4 linked regions of the Sus scrofa genome follow. The protein of the gene in region 3 interacts with the protein of the main gene of each other region in a biochemical or structural test. Links are inferred from orthologs where the notes say so. Each region holds a gene or a part of one and is shown on either strand. Other genes may lie near its edges.

Region 1 (3,518 bases), on a different chromosome or scaffold from region 3:
CTCGGCAGCTGGGCTCCCCCGGCCCTGGGGCTGTGCTAACTCCTGTCTTGGGCGAACACCCACACCCAGGCCCCATCGGGTGAACCAGCAGCCAAGCCACACAAAGCTTCAATGCAGATTCTGCAGGGCAGCGCCCTGCAGGGCAGGGTCACGGCTGGAGCACAAACCTGGGGAAACGGGCTCTCCCCCGAGGGGACCCCATGGCCACCCGGGCCCCGCCTCTCAGCGCTGGAGCTGACGGAGAACAGGGAGTCGGGACCCTCCACCCCTGGGGCCGCCCCCTCCTCCTCGCCACCTGGTCAGCCCCCTGCCCCTGCCCCCAGAACACCGAGGCAGCCCGGAACCTGCCCCCGACGTCCCCACCCAGCCCCAGACCCCCAGGGCTCCAGGAGGCCTCGCCCGGACACGGAGGATGAGCTCGGCTGACCGAGCCAGTCTGACCCTCACGCGGGCCTCGAGAAGAGGGCAGCACGGCTGCGCCCCCATCACAAGGGAGAAACCCATCAGGGCCCAGGCGAGGGGCCGCTGGCCGAGGCGGCAGCGCAGGCAGGACGGGGCTGGCCCGGGGGCGGGTGGCGGCGGGGAGGAGGCGCACCCGGGTTGAAGAGGACGATGGCGCGCAGGCAGCCGAGCTCCGTCTTGTCCATCTGCATGTCCCTCATCTTGGACACCAGCTCCGTCAGCACCCTGCGGGGAAGCGGGGGCAGGCTTCGGGTCAGACCGCGCCCTCGCCCCGGAACCCCGGAGGCCCGGGAAGCCCGGTCTGGGCCCGGAGGGCGGCTGAGACGGTCACGGCGAACCCGGGAGCCACCGCCTGTCCGGTTCCGCCCCGGCGGTGGGCTCCTCTCCTCTCACTCAAGAGGGTCTGCGCGTGGGATTTGTTTCTGGGAACCTGGGGGCTGAAGTGGGACCTCGTGACAGCCGGGGTGAGCCAGAGCCCTGGACGTCGGGGGCAAGGTCCACCGGCCCAGGGGCCCGCCGGCCCAGGGGTCCACCGGCCCAGGGGCCCGCCGGGCTGCAGGCGGGCACGCAGCCTCAGGCCGAGCCCGGGCACCACAGCCCTCGAGTCCATGTCCCCGGCCCCTTCCCCACTGCAGGGCGGCTCTGTTCCCCTCCTGTCATCAGCCGCCGACCAGACCCCCACCACTGTCACCTCTCCAGCAGCTGGGAACCATGGAAGTGCCAGCTGGTGTGAGGCAGGGGCTGCATTTCTAAACATCCTGGGGACGTGCCCTCTGGGGTGGCTTCTATGGGGAACAAATGCTGCCCCCCGCTGCCCCCTTGGGTGGCACTTCTGCACCCGAGCTGTGAAAGGCCCTGCGACGGCCTGTAGCAGAGACACCCCGGGGTCTGTCTACACCAGCGCCTGCCCACGGTGCATGGCGCAGGCAGGGCGGTCTGGGGCTGCACTTTGTCCCACCTGCTCCATCCCACGGGGCAGCCCTGTGCCCGCAGGTATCCCCGGGGTGACTGGGGGGGGGGGCCTCGCTCCCCTCCCCCTTCAAAGCTCCTGTTCTCAGGGCTCGCCTGGGACCCCTCCTGCCTCCTCCTCCCTGGCCTGCTCCTTTCCACGTGCCACACCTGGGCTGCGCCCCCTTTCCAGCGCTTCCCGCTCCGGCTGGCTGAGTTGACACCCAGGTCCTCCGGGCTCATAGGCAAGGCCAGCCAGACACAGGAGCGGGCAGCTCCCATCTGCCTCGCCTGCAGCACCATCGAGCCGTGATTTGGGAGCCACCAGAACGGACATGCCCGCCCAGCCACCCGCACTGGCCCCCTGTCCCCGCCCCAATGGCGATATGCCAAGAGCAGCACTCAGAGGCAGCTAGTGCCCAGGGACAGGGCAGCGAGCAGACACACGTGGGCTCTGAGGCATAAGCGCGCGAAAGAGTCCCCACGTGTCCACCGTGACAGCCGCCAGGCAAGTCTAGCGACAGCGTAACCTGTCTTTGCTTTAAAACAGCAGCAGGATTTTCAGAAGGACAGGAAGGAAGGGAACCCAGATGCTGACTGTGGTTGTCGGTAGCCCCAGGAAATCTTATGGTAGCGCCGGGACCTTTCCGCACGTAGAACCTTCGAGAACAGGACAGATGCCAAGCGGGCCGTGCCCTGGGCGGGCCCCCACCTGTCAAAGATGGCGCCCACCCCCGCGCTGTGGGCGCTGTTGCGGTGCACGTGCAGCCCGGTGGCCAGGAGGATGCCGTCCTTCACGGCTATGGAGCGGTGCGAGAAGGAGGCGATGAGCAGCTCGTTCCAGCCTGCAGGAGGAGGGGGCACACGGTCACCACGTCTCCAGGCCCCAGGCCGCCCTGCCCCCAAAGGCAAACCTCAGACCCATTCCTTGGGGAACCCAGGCCGGGGTTCCCAGAATGGGCTCCGGGGAGCCTCGAGCCTGCAAACGTCCCACAGAAAGGAAGTTCCTGAGCACAGACGCCTGGGAAAGGCCTCTCTGGGGCACACTGGCACAGTAAGGGCCCTGAGAAGTCCCGCACATGACATGTCCTGTAGCCAGTTTAACCCAGGGGCTCCCAAACGCAGGTGCCAGGGAAGCCGCCTTCTGCAAGGGCCAAGATGCTGTGCCAAGGAGCTCGCGGGAGCTCCCTCGACCCTCTCCGGCAGCCCCACGCCAGCTGCCGCCCACTGGCCCAAAGGCCAACTCCCAGAGACGGACACATGGTGGATGCCACCAAATGGTCAAGCACTGAGCTGACACAAGGCGATCTGGAGCCAAAGGCCAAGCCGCCGCTCTCCAGCTCTCGGGCCCAGCATGCCCAGAGGCGAGGCAAGGACCAGGCAGGGGGACAGACCTATTCTGTGCGCAAGTGTCTCAGGGACCAGTACACCGGACAGCGTTCACCATCTCCCGCGGGACACGACTAGCAACGGTCACAGCCCCGCCCCCTCCGGGCGCCCAGAGGTTCCAGGCAGAGCCAGCCGGTACCACGGGGTCGTCCTACAGGGCAGGCATCAGCCCCGTTTCACCGGGGAAGCGGCCCAGGGAGAGGAGGGTTCTGCAAGGGGCAGCACCAGCCCCCGAGCTCCCCCCCCCCCCACCCGGATCTGTCCCAGCCACTCCGCCATCACTCTGGGTCTCTCCCTCCCACCTTCCCCACCTCCAGGCCTGCCCAGCCCCGGCCTCCTCTGACCCAGCTGCCACCTGTCCCCCTGCCCCAAGAACACCCAGAGCCTGGCCGGCCCTGGGCTGGGCTGGCCTGACACCCCTGCGGCTCCCCGCTCAGGCCTGGTGCACAAGGGTCTGGAGGCGGCTGCAGAGCTGGGTGCAGCCCGCAGGGCCCAGGACACAGGGAGGGGCCGCGGGACGGGTGGCCCTCCCAACTCGCCCGTCCCTGCACTCTCTCCAGCAGGAACTTGCACCCAGGACCTGTGCCTCACAGCAGAAACCGGCCTCCCCGCGGCACGTCTGCTGTGCCCACTTTCCAAATAAGGGAACGGCTCAGAGGGCGACAGCCTCGTCCGGACTCCGGCCTGACCCCATGCCCAGAGTGAATGCTCCCGCCCTC
Region 2 (3,518 bases), on a different chromosome or scaffold from region 3:
GGGATTAAACCCACATCCTCATGGATACTAGTCAGGTTTGTTACCGCTGAGCCATGTCAGGAACTCCCCAGATATCATTTTTAATTTTCATAATTGAAAGCCTAAACCTTGCAACATCTACTAAATTGAATCAACTTTGTCACAGGACTATTTTTGACCAATTAATAAAAATTTTAAAGGCCTAACTGAAGGCCTCACTGATTTTTAAATAATCTAGCTTATGGGCAGTAAATGGCATTTTTCTAGATGAAATCACACTGTTGTCTTATGTGTCCATAAAACAGCATTGCTCAGCTCCAAAAACCCTGTACTATCAAGACTGTTTCTTGTCTAGGCCTTTCCTAGATAAAAACTAAGCATTTTTTTTTTTTTATTGCAATATTTGTTTTACTGTGGTAGCCTGGAAACAAACTCACGGTATCTCTGAGTTACGCCATTTTTTCTTTTTTTTGACTGTGCCCATGGGACTCAAAGTTCCTGGGCCAGGGATTGAAACTGCACCACAGCAGTAACCAGAGCCACAGCAATGACAATGCTGAGTTGTAAACGGTTAGGCTGTCAGGAAACTCCTGAAAGTAAGCCTCTTTGAATTGCTTATTTCAAATGCCTCCTTCAGTATCTGGGGTAGGAATATAAATTAGTACAAACTTTATGGAGAAACAATCTGGTAATAATGAAGCAAAAGTCTTAAAAATGCTCATAGCTATTTACCCAGCAATTCCACTACCAGTAATTCAAAGTTTGAGAAAATAATCTGAAATGTTAACAGAAATATTACACCTAAGAAGAATCACTGCAGTGAAATTTAGAACACATTTTCCATCATCTTTTATACTCTTCTCTATAGGTTTTTATAACAAATTATACGCAACTTAAACACAAATTGGGAGATAATTGAGTATGTAACGGCTTGTTATAAAAAGGAATTACTTTACAGTCATTAAAAATGGTACTATATATCTATATATCCATATGCTAGCACACACACAGAAGTTTTTGGTAGGAGAAATAGGACTTTGTTAATCCTATTTTATTCTTTTTCTTTTTCTTTTTTTGGTTTTTTAGAACTGCACGTACAAAAGTTCCCAGGCTAGAGGTTAAATGAGAGCTGCAGCTACCGCCTACACCACAGCCACAGCAACACCAGATCTGAGCCACATCTGTGATCTAAACCACAGCTCATGGCAACACTGGATTCTTAACCCACTGAGTGAGGCCAGGGATCAAAGCTACATCCTCATGGATACTAGCTGGGTTCAAAACCCACTGAGCCACAACGGAAACTACAATCCTATTTTATTCTGAGGACAGAGAGCTTTACTTTTCACTTACACCTTTCTGTACTCTTTGAATTATAAAATGACCATGTATTACTCCTATTTTAAAAAATTAATAAAATATTAATAGAGTATTAATGACATGGGAAAATGGTTAAATGAAAAAGGAATATAAACATAGTATATGTAGTATGATTAGGAAAAAGTCTTAGAAATATATCAAACGTTAATAATTATATTTCCATTTTTCATTAAAAATTAAATTGCCTCAAAATATTAGCTAGTTAGTTCCAATTTGTCTTCTAATCTAGTTTTCCAAAATTTAATATTTTTCTCCCAATGGACCTCAAATAAAATGGAATATCATTCTTTGCTGAACTAGTCACAGATCTCAGAGCATCAAGGGTTAATTTGTTTAAGAAGTACATTATGTCAAGATGTCAAAACATGTTGGATGGTATATTTTTGTTACATCAAACAACACAAAAGAGGGCTTGTGGCTTCAGCGTTAACCTGCGCCATGTGGTTATCTGTTTGCACCCTAGTTGTGTAACAGGTGGTATGAGCACAGACCCAGGAGTCAGACTGCTCAGTCTGTCATCCTGGCTCCATCTTTCGCCGGCCGGGTAACCATGGGCAAGTGGCTGAACCTTTCAGTGCTTTGCTTTCCTTGCTTGCAAAACGGTATTTATCTCATTGGGGTTGTGAGACTTATATGAATGTGCAAACAGTGGTTAGAATACTTCCTGGTGTACAGTAAGTACTTAAGTGTCTGCCACTATTATCATGACTAATACCCTGTGCACCTGATTTCAGGAAGCATTCTGCTCTCAAGTCACTGGACAACAAAGGGCTACACAGTGGACCATGATCTTTGTAACAGGCTGCCTAGGGGCACACAGCTCACATCTCTAGGACCACTGCCCCCCACCCACCATCAGCTTTCATGCACAGAGGGTTTCTGCAGAGTGCACACAAAAAGCTCACCTGAAGTCCATCCATTACAGTAATGAAAACCGGTCACTGGAAAACAATTTTTATATAGACAGATGACAGTAAAACTTTCTCCTACTCAAGCTGGAAACATGTGAGAGGCCAATGAAAGTAGCATTTAGTATAAAACCTGGCCTGCAGAGTTGGTTAGTTAGATCATGTACTTGCAAGGTCAAAAGTACAATGAATGGCTAAATAACTCTATTTATTTCCCTGCTGGATGTTCATTGCTTCAGCCTACACTCTGAATCACACCAACGACCTCACAAAGGCACTTTAAGGGAAGCCATCAGAGGACTCCATGCGGGACAGGAGGTGGAGGTCAGCAGATATGTTATTTCTTGATTCCTGATACCAGGAAACCAATTCAAAGTAACAACCCGTTACGGTGGGGTGGGACCGGAGCAGAATCTGACCACAAACACAGAGCCGTGCCTTCTCTAGGCCAAGTGGGGGTCATCTTACAAAGTTGTATGTCACCACTTAAATGAAGATTGGATTGGCCTTCTAGAAAGGAGAGCAAAAAGACCAGAATAAAAGAAAGAAAAAGGAGAAGAGGGCATCTGTCTTCCACGTTTGGACTGGACTAGAATAAATGTTCGGAAAGATAAAAGAAAAGAGCTGGAGTTACGGCAAGACCATGACATTCCTTCTCAGTGTGTCACACGTGTAGTGACACTCCCATGGGATTAGGTCATTAGCATTTTCCATATGAAGAGGGCAGTAAACACAGAGAGAAAAGGAATGCAGCCTAACATGAAAGAAGGTCAGAATTCTTTTAGCCAGCCCCCCACCACCTTACTCTCTTCATGGAAGAGGCAAAGAAGCAGCTCACCTCCACTGAGAATAATGACAGCTATAAATATCGCCAGGTCGCTGTCATCTAATTCCAGTGCGTTGAACTTCACAGCAAACTCGAACTTGGGCTCCATAAAGTCACCAAAGGGCTTTCTCAGGCTCTTGAGAAACTCCCTTGTCATGAATCCTTGGCCCTCGGAGATGAGGACCCCGTCTTTATTCATCAAGGAGGCCAGCATGGTGTAAATGATCTCGTGGACGCCATACTTTAGGAGAGTTACTTGGTCATTCAGGTCAAGGTTTACAAACCCAGGGATGTTCTTGGCATACTCTGTGATCTCCTGCACGGCCTCCACGGAGCGAAACTGACACCCCTGAAAGATGCGAATGGCCACCTCTTTGCTCTGCTCCTGCAGGGGGGTGATGTGTTTGAACTTGATTTTATCTTCT
Region 3 (3,518 bases):
AAAAGTAAATAAAAGGCCTTGACTCATCTGGATTATTCTACGAGGGGTGGTAGTCGGAGATTACCAAAGAGAGATCAAAGAGACACCATCATCACAGAATCAAGTAACAGGTATTTTTAAGAACAGATCAAATGAAATGTGGAACTCTGGAATGAGAGACTAACACAGAACCAACCCCCTCACCCCCCCCCCCAAAATCAGCAAAAGGCTGTAAGTCTGACTGATAAACTGACTGATGACAAAGTTTTGGGGAAAATTCTTAAGAACTTATTCCACATTTCAATATCAACATCACAAAGACTAAAGTTTGAAAGTGCCATATTTCAAGAAATAAAGGTGATAATGAGAATGACAAAGAATACTTTTGGTTTAGAACCAATATTTTCTAAGCTGGTTTCAAGCTGTCAGCTGTAATTCGCATTTCCCTTCACCACATAATAAACCTTCGAATATACATGCGGATAAAATCTTCCTAATTGCCTCTTTCACTCCCTGACAGACTTGAACTTTGGAAATAATACGCTACCAATGATAGTATCTTGATCTTGGTTGCTGATAAGCTATTTGGTTTAGTGTTACTCTCACATTGCTATTATTATTCTTCCTTCTCACCTCATTGAATTCGGCACAGTTTTGAAAGATCAATCTAAAATCAGCTACAAAATCTTCAGGCTTTGTATACATGGAATAATCTTCCTGTAGTCTTTTCTTGATGGTTGACAAGTCCATTGGGTTTTTAATTATTTTATAATAATCAGGCACCTTTCAAAAGAAATGAGATGCTGTAATAAATAACTAAATTCTACCTGGTCCTAAATAAATTCTATAAGAAGTAGCATAAAATTCTTATTTTTCTCACTGCTTTTCTCTGTTCTATTTTGTCATTGACAAGGCAATCTATTCAACAAAATTTACAAATGCCTACAGGCTTCCACACACTGATAAATGTTTTGTGTCGCTTTCATCAAAAATTCTCCCCAGGAGTTCCCATGGTGCCTCAGCGGTAATGAACCCAACTAGTATCCACAAGGATGCAGCCTCACTCAGTGAGATAAGGATTTGGTGGTGGTGTGATTGTCGCTGGCAGCTACAGCTCTGACCCCCGGCCTGGGAACTTACCTATGTCATGGGTGTGGCTGTAAAAAGACCAAAAAGAAAAAAGAAAAGAAAACAAAACAAAACAAAAAACCAAAACAACAACCCCGAAAACCCCACCCAAATTTTTTATTAGTTATTCCTTTTTATTTATTTATTTTTTTTGTCTTTTTGCCATTTCTTGGGCCGCTCCTGTGGCATATGGAAATTCCCAGGCGAGGGGTCTAATTGGAGCTGTAGCCGCCAGCCTAAGCCAGAGCCACAGCAATGAAGGATCCGAGCTGCGTCTGCGACCTACACCACAGCTCACAGCAACGCCGAATCGTTAACCCACTGAGCAAGGGCAGGGACCGAACCCGCACCTCATGGTTCCTAGTCGGATTCGTTATCCACTGCGCCACGACGGGAACTCCTATGAGTTATTTCTAATGAAAAAAACTTACCGCATTTCCCTCTTATTATTCTTCATCATTATTAAACAAAAAGCAATCACTAGAAAAAGCATTACTTCTAGTAAGATTTGACATGTTCTTGTTCCAAGTGTTCAGCAAGTGAGCTTTCTGAACCCCAGCTCTGCTACTCAATAGGGTACGACTTAATGAGTTACTTCATGTCACTGAAACTGTTCCTTCATATTTCAAATAGGACTAATTCCACCAGTCCCACAGGATGATGTATAGACTGAGATGATATATATTAAGAAAAAAGGGGGCTACTTTGCTGTTGCTGTTATTAATACCAAATGTTAACTGTAAGCTAACACCATAAAGAGCGCCAAACCTTAGGTTAAATTTTTAAGTGAATAAAGTTTTACTGACCTACTTTTGCCCTGCCTGTTTTGAGTACAACAGGCCCTTCCCCCTAAAAACGACTTACAGTGGAGCCTCGAACTCTGCAGGCACATGTATGCATTGATTTTTTTTCACTAAACTCACACTATAGCACTACCTGATCCATGGTGGGCTGATTCTGCAAACGGAAAGGCCCGGATGCAAGGTTACATGCCGCTTTCTAATCATGCAGAGCTGGTGCCCCAACCTCCTCACTGTTCTAATTAAGAGTTAACTGTATTGATTTTTCCTATCTCAAGTTCTCAAAACTTGTTTTCAAGAAATTTTAATTTTGCATAAAATTTTTAAAATTTATTGAACTGTACATCTATTAATTTTTAAAAGGAATTTCAGACATCAGAGAATAGAACAACACATTTTGAGTAGCAGGCCCTTACTAGCACCATTATAATGAGACTATGCATTAAAGTCACATCAAACTTCAACTACGAAGCCTTTTGAAGTCAATGGTAAACACATACACACACACACACACAAATACACCTCTCTTCTTCTACTGTTAAAAGTCTAGGAGTTCCCATCGTGGCACAGTGGTTAACGAATCCGACTAGGAACCATGAGGTTGCGGGTTCGATCCCTGGCCTTGCTCAGTGGGTTAACGATCCGGCGTTGCCGTGAGCTGTGATGCAGGCTGCAGATGCGGCTCGGATCCCGAATTGCTGTGGCTCTGGCATAGGCTGGCGGCTACAGCTCCGATTAGACCCCTAGCCTGGGAACCTCCATATGCCGCGGGAGCGGCCCAAGAAAAGGCAAAAAGACCAAAAAAAAAAAAAAAAAAAAAGTCTATTTATTGCTTGAAGTTTGGACCTATAAACTCAAATGTGTACAGAGAACTTTGAGGCAGGGGATCTTTATCTGAAATACAAAGTTTTTTTTCCCAACAGCTTAGGACATGTATGTAAAACTCCTGAGACAGAAACGATAGAAAGCATCCCAGAGAATAGCAGGTAAAATACATGAGATGAAAAGAAAGATTATATGAGAAACGAAGTTTTGAGCCACTTTGTTAACATTAAAATGTATTTAAGATCAAAGCATTCAGTATCTATTAATAAGCTTTACAGTTTGGATTAATGTAAGAAACTTACTACTGAAACAGAAACTAGATTTTCAAATCAAATTTCAGAAAAATCACCCCACTGTGCAAAAATGCACAAAATGACATTAATACTTACAGTTAGAGGAACTGGGTCTTGAAAAGCCAGGCTCATTTCATGGCAGTAAAGAAACAGAAGTAGACGTTCACACTTCTAAGCAACAAAAAGAAAGAAAGAAAATGAAAATACAATGAGATAATGAAGTCACAACTAAATTTTTGTTGTTACAGGTCAAAATACCTGAATAAAAATTAAAACTAGATGAATGTAAGAAAAATACTGATACTTGGAGCTGTGGTGTCGTCTCCTTTTTTATGGAGGCCTTATACCTATTTTCCTTTGGTTAGTGAATTTTCATAACATCCTACTTCATTATGTGATTTTAGTGGAATTAAACTTGTTATTTGAATTATTATCAATTTCACTTTTTTTGTCTTTCTGTTTATTTATTATTTTTTTGCTTTTTAGGGCTGTG
Region 4 (3,518 bases), on a different chromosome or scaffold from region 3:
CCTGGTCCTTCTGCAGTGAAAAGCTCTGGGAGCGGAAGGTGGCAGTGGCAGAGGGAGGAGGAGGTGCTGGGCCCTGCAGGGAATGGTCCCAGGCCTGCAGGTTCCAAGTTGTCACCTGCTCTGCAGCGCCCGCCCGAGCAGCCACTTTCCTGGGCTCCGGACAACACCGCCCCTGCCTCCAGTGGCAGGAGGTGGCAGGGTGCTGCAGGGTCCCTCTGCTCCTGTCTGGGGCACCTCATGTCCAGCCCCCCCGCCCGCCGCCACCTCCCCTCCCCACTTCCTTCCTCCACTGCCCTGCCCACAAAGGGCTAGAGGGTCCTGCAGCCCCCTCCCCCACCCCATCCCCCAAGGCTCAGGCTCCATGGCAACGGCCACGCAGACAAGGAGGCGTCTGTCAGCGTCATTTATCTCTGACATCATCAATCACCGGTCACCACGGCAACACCCATGATTCAAAACAAGAGGGGTCTCCCTGTCCAACCCTCCCTCTCCCCCTCCATCAGGCCTCAGCTGAGCCCGAACTGGAAACCCCCGTTCCTCTGGGAGCAGAGAAGCCCCAATTCTCTCATCCAACTCCAGGTCCCAGGCTTCACCAGACAACGGCCCTCCGATCCCTGTGCCTGCAGCACAGCCCCTGCACACACCACTGAGCGGCACCCCTGCCCTGAGATGCACAATCCCAAGGGACTCACGGAGGCCTCTGGGTTCCGCCCCAAAGCCACCCAGGGCCTGGAAGCAGACACATGCAGACCCGTGTGCAAGCTCATGCAGCCTGCCAGGGGCCAACAGGAAGGGCTGTCCACACATGGACACACAGAGGGCCAGACAGACAGACAGGTCCTTGGAGCTATACACAAACCGGCCTCAACATGGGCCCGCATACCATGCATGGTCGGGTCCACACACACGCACACACACACACACACACACACACACACACACACACAGCCACACGCCCCCCCCGGCTCCCCTGGCTTTAGGGGCCCGGCCCCCTCCAGGCACTCACACTCCTTGGACATGCCCACTTCAAAGCACTTCTGCAGCCGGCAGTACTGGCAGCGGTTCCGGGTCACCTTGTTGATGATGCAGTTCTTGTCCCGGTGACACGTGTACACCATGTTCTTCTGGATGCTTCGGCGGAAGAAGCCCTGGGTAGGGAGGGCAGGGAGGCAGGTCAGCCACACCCAGAGCCACACCCACGATTCAAAACACGAGGGGTCTCCCTGTCAGCGCTGGCCTGCGGCCTCCGTCTGAAGGCAGAGGGCCAGCGGGCTGCTGCCCCCAAGCCTTTGGCCATCACCTACCTGAGCAGGCCAGATAAGGTGGGGAGAAGGGTCCACCTACAAGGATACTCCCTGAAGAATCCCAGTACCTGCTGCCTCAACACTGCGGCGGGGGCGGGGGGGGCAGGCTTCCCCCAACCTCCACCCACAGACCCAGGTTCCTCCCTCCTGGGGAGACAGACCTCAGGCTGTTGGCGAGTCAGGAAAAGGGGCAGATGGGGTTAGATGGGACAAAAGCAGAGCCCTGGGCTCAGCACAGAAGAGAAGGCAAGCAGGAAGGGACCACAGAGGGATACACGCAGGCGGCCCTGAGAGGTGGGGACACTCTCGCACTCAGAAGCAAGGCAGCAGGACACGTTTGTTAACCAGGCAGATGCACACAGAAGGATCACTGGTCGAGGGCAGACCAGGCTGGTGGGGGCAGGAGGCGGGGGTGGGGGCACACAGGCCAACAGAGGCTGACAGACTAGGGCGGACCAGGAACAACCAGCCAGACAGGACAGGTGGACACACATAGTCCAAGGCTGTGTGCTTTGCCCTCGATCTCCCCCCCACACCCGGAGCTGGCCACTCCACACTGAGGGGCAGCCCTGGGCCCCAGGCCCCAAGCCCCAGGGCTGTGCAGCTTCAAAGCCGCGATCTCTGGGGAAGAAACAGGTACAGAGGCTCAAGCCCTGGGGACAGGTAGAGGAGAGGCCATGCCCACAGGGGCTGGGAAGGGGGCAGCCATGTCTGCACCCCGGAGCCTATCATGTGCACGGGGACATCCAGCCAGGCACTGGGGAGCCCACAGCCTGGGCATCTGAAGGAGACGCCAAGGCAAGGCGCCTGCTCCTAACAGCCTCCTGCCAGGCTGTCATGGCGAGGTTCAGGCAGGGCCACTGGAGGCAGGCCTCCTGGGTCCCCAGCCAAGAGCCTGTCGGCAGCCAGCTCACCATGGCAACCTGGGCAGCGGTGGCAGGGCGGGTGTTCGCCCTGCCAGCCGGAGGATGGAGGATGGAGGAAGCGAGCTGAGGCAGGAGCGGAACCTCTGGCTTGGGGGACCCCTGCTCCGCCATGGGGAAGGAGGTTCCGCTGAAGGCTTCCTCTCCTCCAAGGGTGCTGCCACCTTCCGCACACAAGCAAGAGTGGCAGCTTCAGGGATACCCGCCTCCCGTCAACGTCACAGTCCCAGGACATGGCAGTGGGAACATCTCATTTATTGGATCAGGACTGTCCTTCCCCACGACCCCCTCGACTCACCTTGCAGCCCTCACAGGCGCTGACCCCATAGTGGTAGCCTGAGGATTTGTCTTGACAGACAAAGCAAGGCTTGTAGATGCGGGGGAGGGGGGGCGGCGAGGGAGGGCTGGGCACTATCTCTTCGGAACTGCTGCTCTGGGTCTCAATGGCTAGAGAGAGAAGAGGGCAAGGGCGGTTAGAGACCCAGGTCACCATCCTGAATCCGGAGCGCCCACCCGCCTCGGGCTCTCTCCCAGGAGCCCCTGCCAGGCTCCCCACCGCGGCCGCCAGGAGTCCAACTCTGGGGCGGGGAGACGCGGTCTCAGGAAAGCTGGGACTTCCCGGCCAGGCTGGGGGAATGAGGTCGCCAAGGAAGCCTCCAGCCCGCCGGCGGTTCCGCCTGCTTCCCCAGGACCCCCCACCTTCGAAACCAGAAAGAGGAGATAATCAGCCATCAGATTTGTATGTGGATGTGGCTACACCTGATCGGTGGGGACAGGTGTCATCCTGGTTCTACAGCCCCAACCCCACCCCCTGGGCAGCCCGGCCCCCTGTCCCCCAGGTTAGGAAGGAGTTAAGGCTGGTGAGGAGGGAGGGAAGAGGACACAGGCTGGGGGCAGAGGAAACTGGGGTCAACAGGATATTCAAAGCCGGCCACTCCCCCACCCCCCGCTTCCGCCCCCCCCAACAGCCACAGCCCCTCCTCCACCCAAACAATCCCCTGGCCGGGAACCTAAGGCAGGGTGTGCAGAGTCGCAAATGTTGAGGCATGGCAGGCAGGGACTCTTTGAGATGAGCAAGGGGCCCCCTGGAGACAGGGAGAAGAGTCCCTATGGGCCCCGGAAGTCCATGGCTCTGGGTGCCCCGTCTGGGGGGAAAAGCATGACAAAGGGGGGTCTGTTCCCATCAATGCGCTGTCTGTCTGGCCTCGATACTATGTCCGGGTTACTATCCCCCTCCCCTCCTGTTCTGCAGCTCCAAGAGGGCGGCCAGGAGGGTGACCCAGCCAGCAGG

The links.
Region 1: the proteins of TRIM24 (region 3) and RXRA form a complex in vitro, tested with the Homo sapiens proteins (3 studies listed by BioGRID). The link is inferred for Sus scrofa from reciprocal best matches to the Homo sapiens genes TRIM24 and RXRA.
Region 2: the proteins of TRIM24 (region 3) and PPARG interact in a test that uses a peptide from one of them, tested with the Homo sapiens proteins (2 studies listed by BioGRID). The link is inferred for Sus scrofa from reciprocal best matches to the Homo sapiens genes TRIM24 and PPARG.
Region 4: the proteins of TRIM24 (region 3) and RARA form a complex in vitro, tested with the Homo sapiens proteins (3 studies listed by BioGRID). The link is inferred for Sus scrofa from reciprocal best matches to the Homo sapiens genes TRIM24 and RARA.

The regions. Positions count from the first base shown.
Region 1 is NC_010443.5:273,787,921-273,791,438, reverse strand, and holds part of RXRA (retinoic acid receptor RXR-alpha), read right to left. Parts: intron 2,256-3,518; coding exon 2,123-2,255; intron 688-2,122; coding exon 596-687; intron 1-595. UniProt on the Homo sapiens protein: Receptor for retinoic acid that acts as a transcription factor.
Region 2 is NC_010455.5:68,416,001-68,419,518, reverse strand, and holds part of PPARG (peroxisome proliferator-activated receptor gamma), read right to left. Parts: coding exon 3,106-3,518; intron 1-3,105. UniProt on the Homo sapiens protein: Nuclear receptor that binds peroxisome proliferators such as hypolipidemic drugs and fatty acids.
Region 3 is NC_010460.4:11,057,670-11,061,187, forward strand, and holds part of TRIM24 (transcription intermediary factor 1-alpha), read right to left. Parts: intron 3,197-3,518; coding exon 3,122-3,196; intron 763-3,121; coding exon 613-762; intron 1-612. UniProt on the Homo sapiens protein: Transcriptional coactivator that interacts with numerous nuclear receptors and coactivators and modulates the transcription of target genes.
Region 4 is NC_010454.4:22,054,742-22,058,259, forward strand, and holds part of RARA (retinoic acid receptor alpha), read right to left. Parts: intron 2,675-3,518; coding exon 2,526-2,674; intron 1,149-2,525; coding exon 1,007-1,148; intron 1-1,006. UniProt on the Homo sapiens protein: Receptor for retinoic acid. Retinoic acid receptors bind as heterodimers to their target response elements in response to their ligands, all-trans or 9-cis retinoic acid, and regulate gene expression in various biological processes.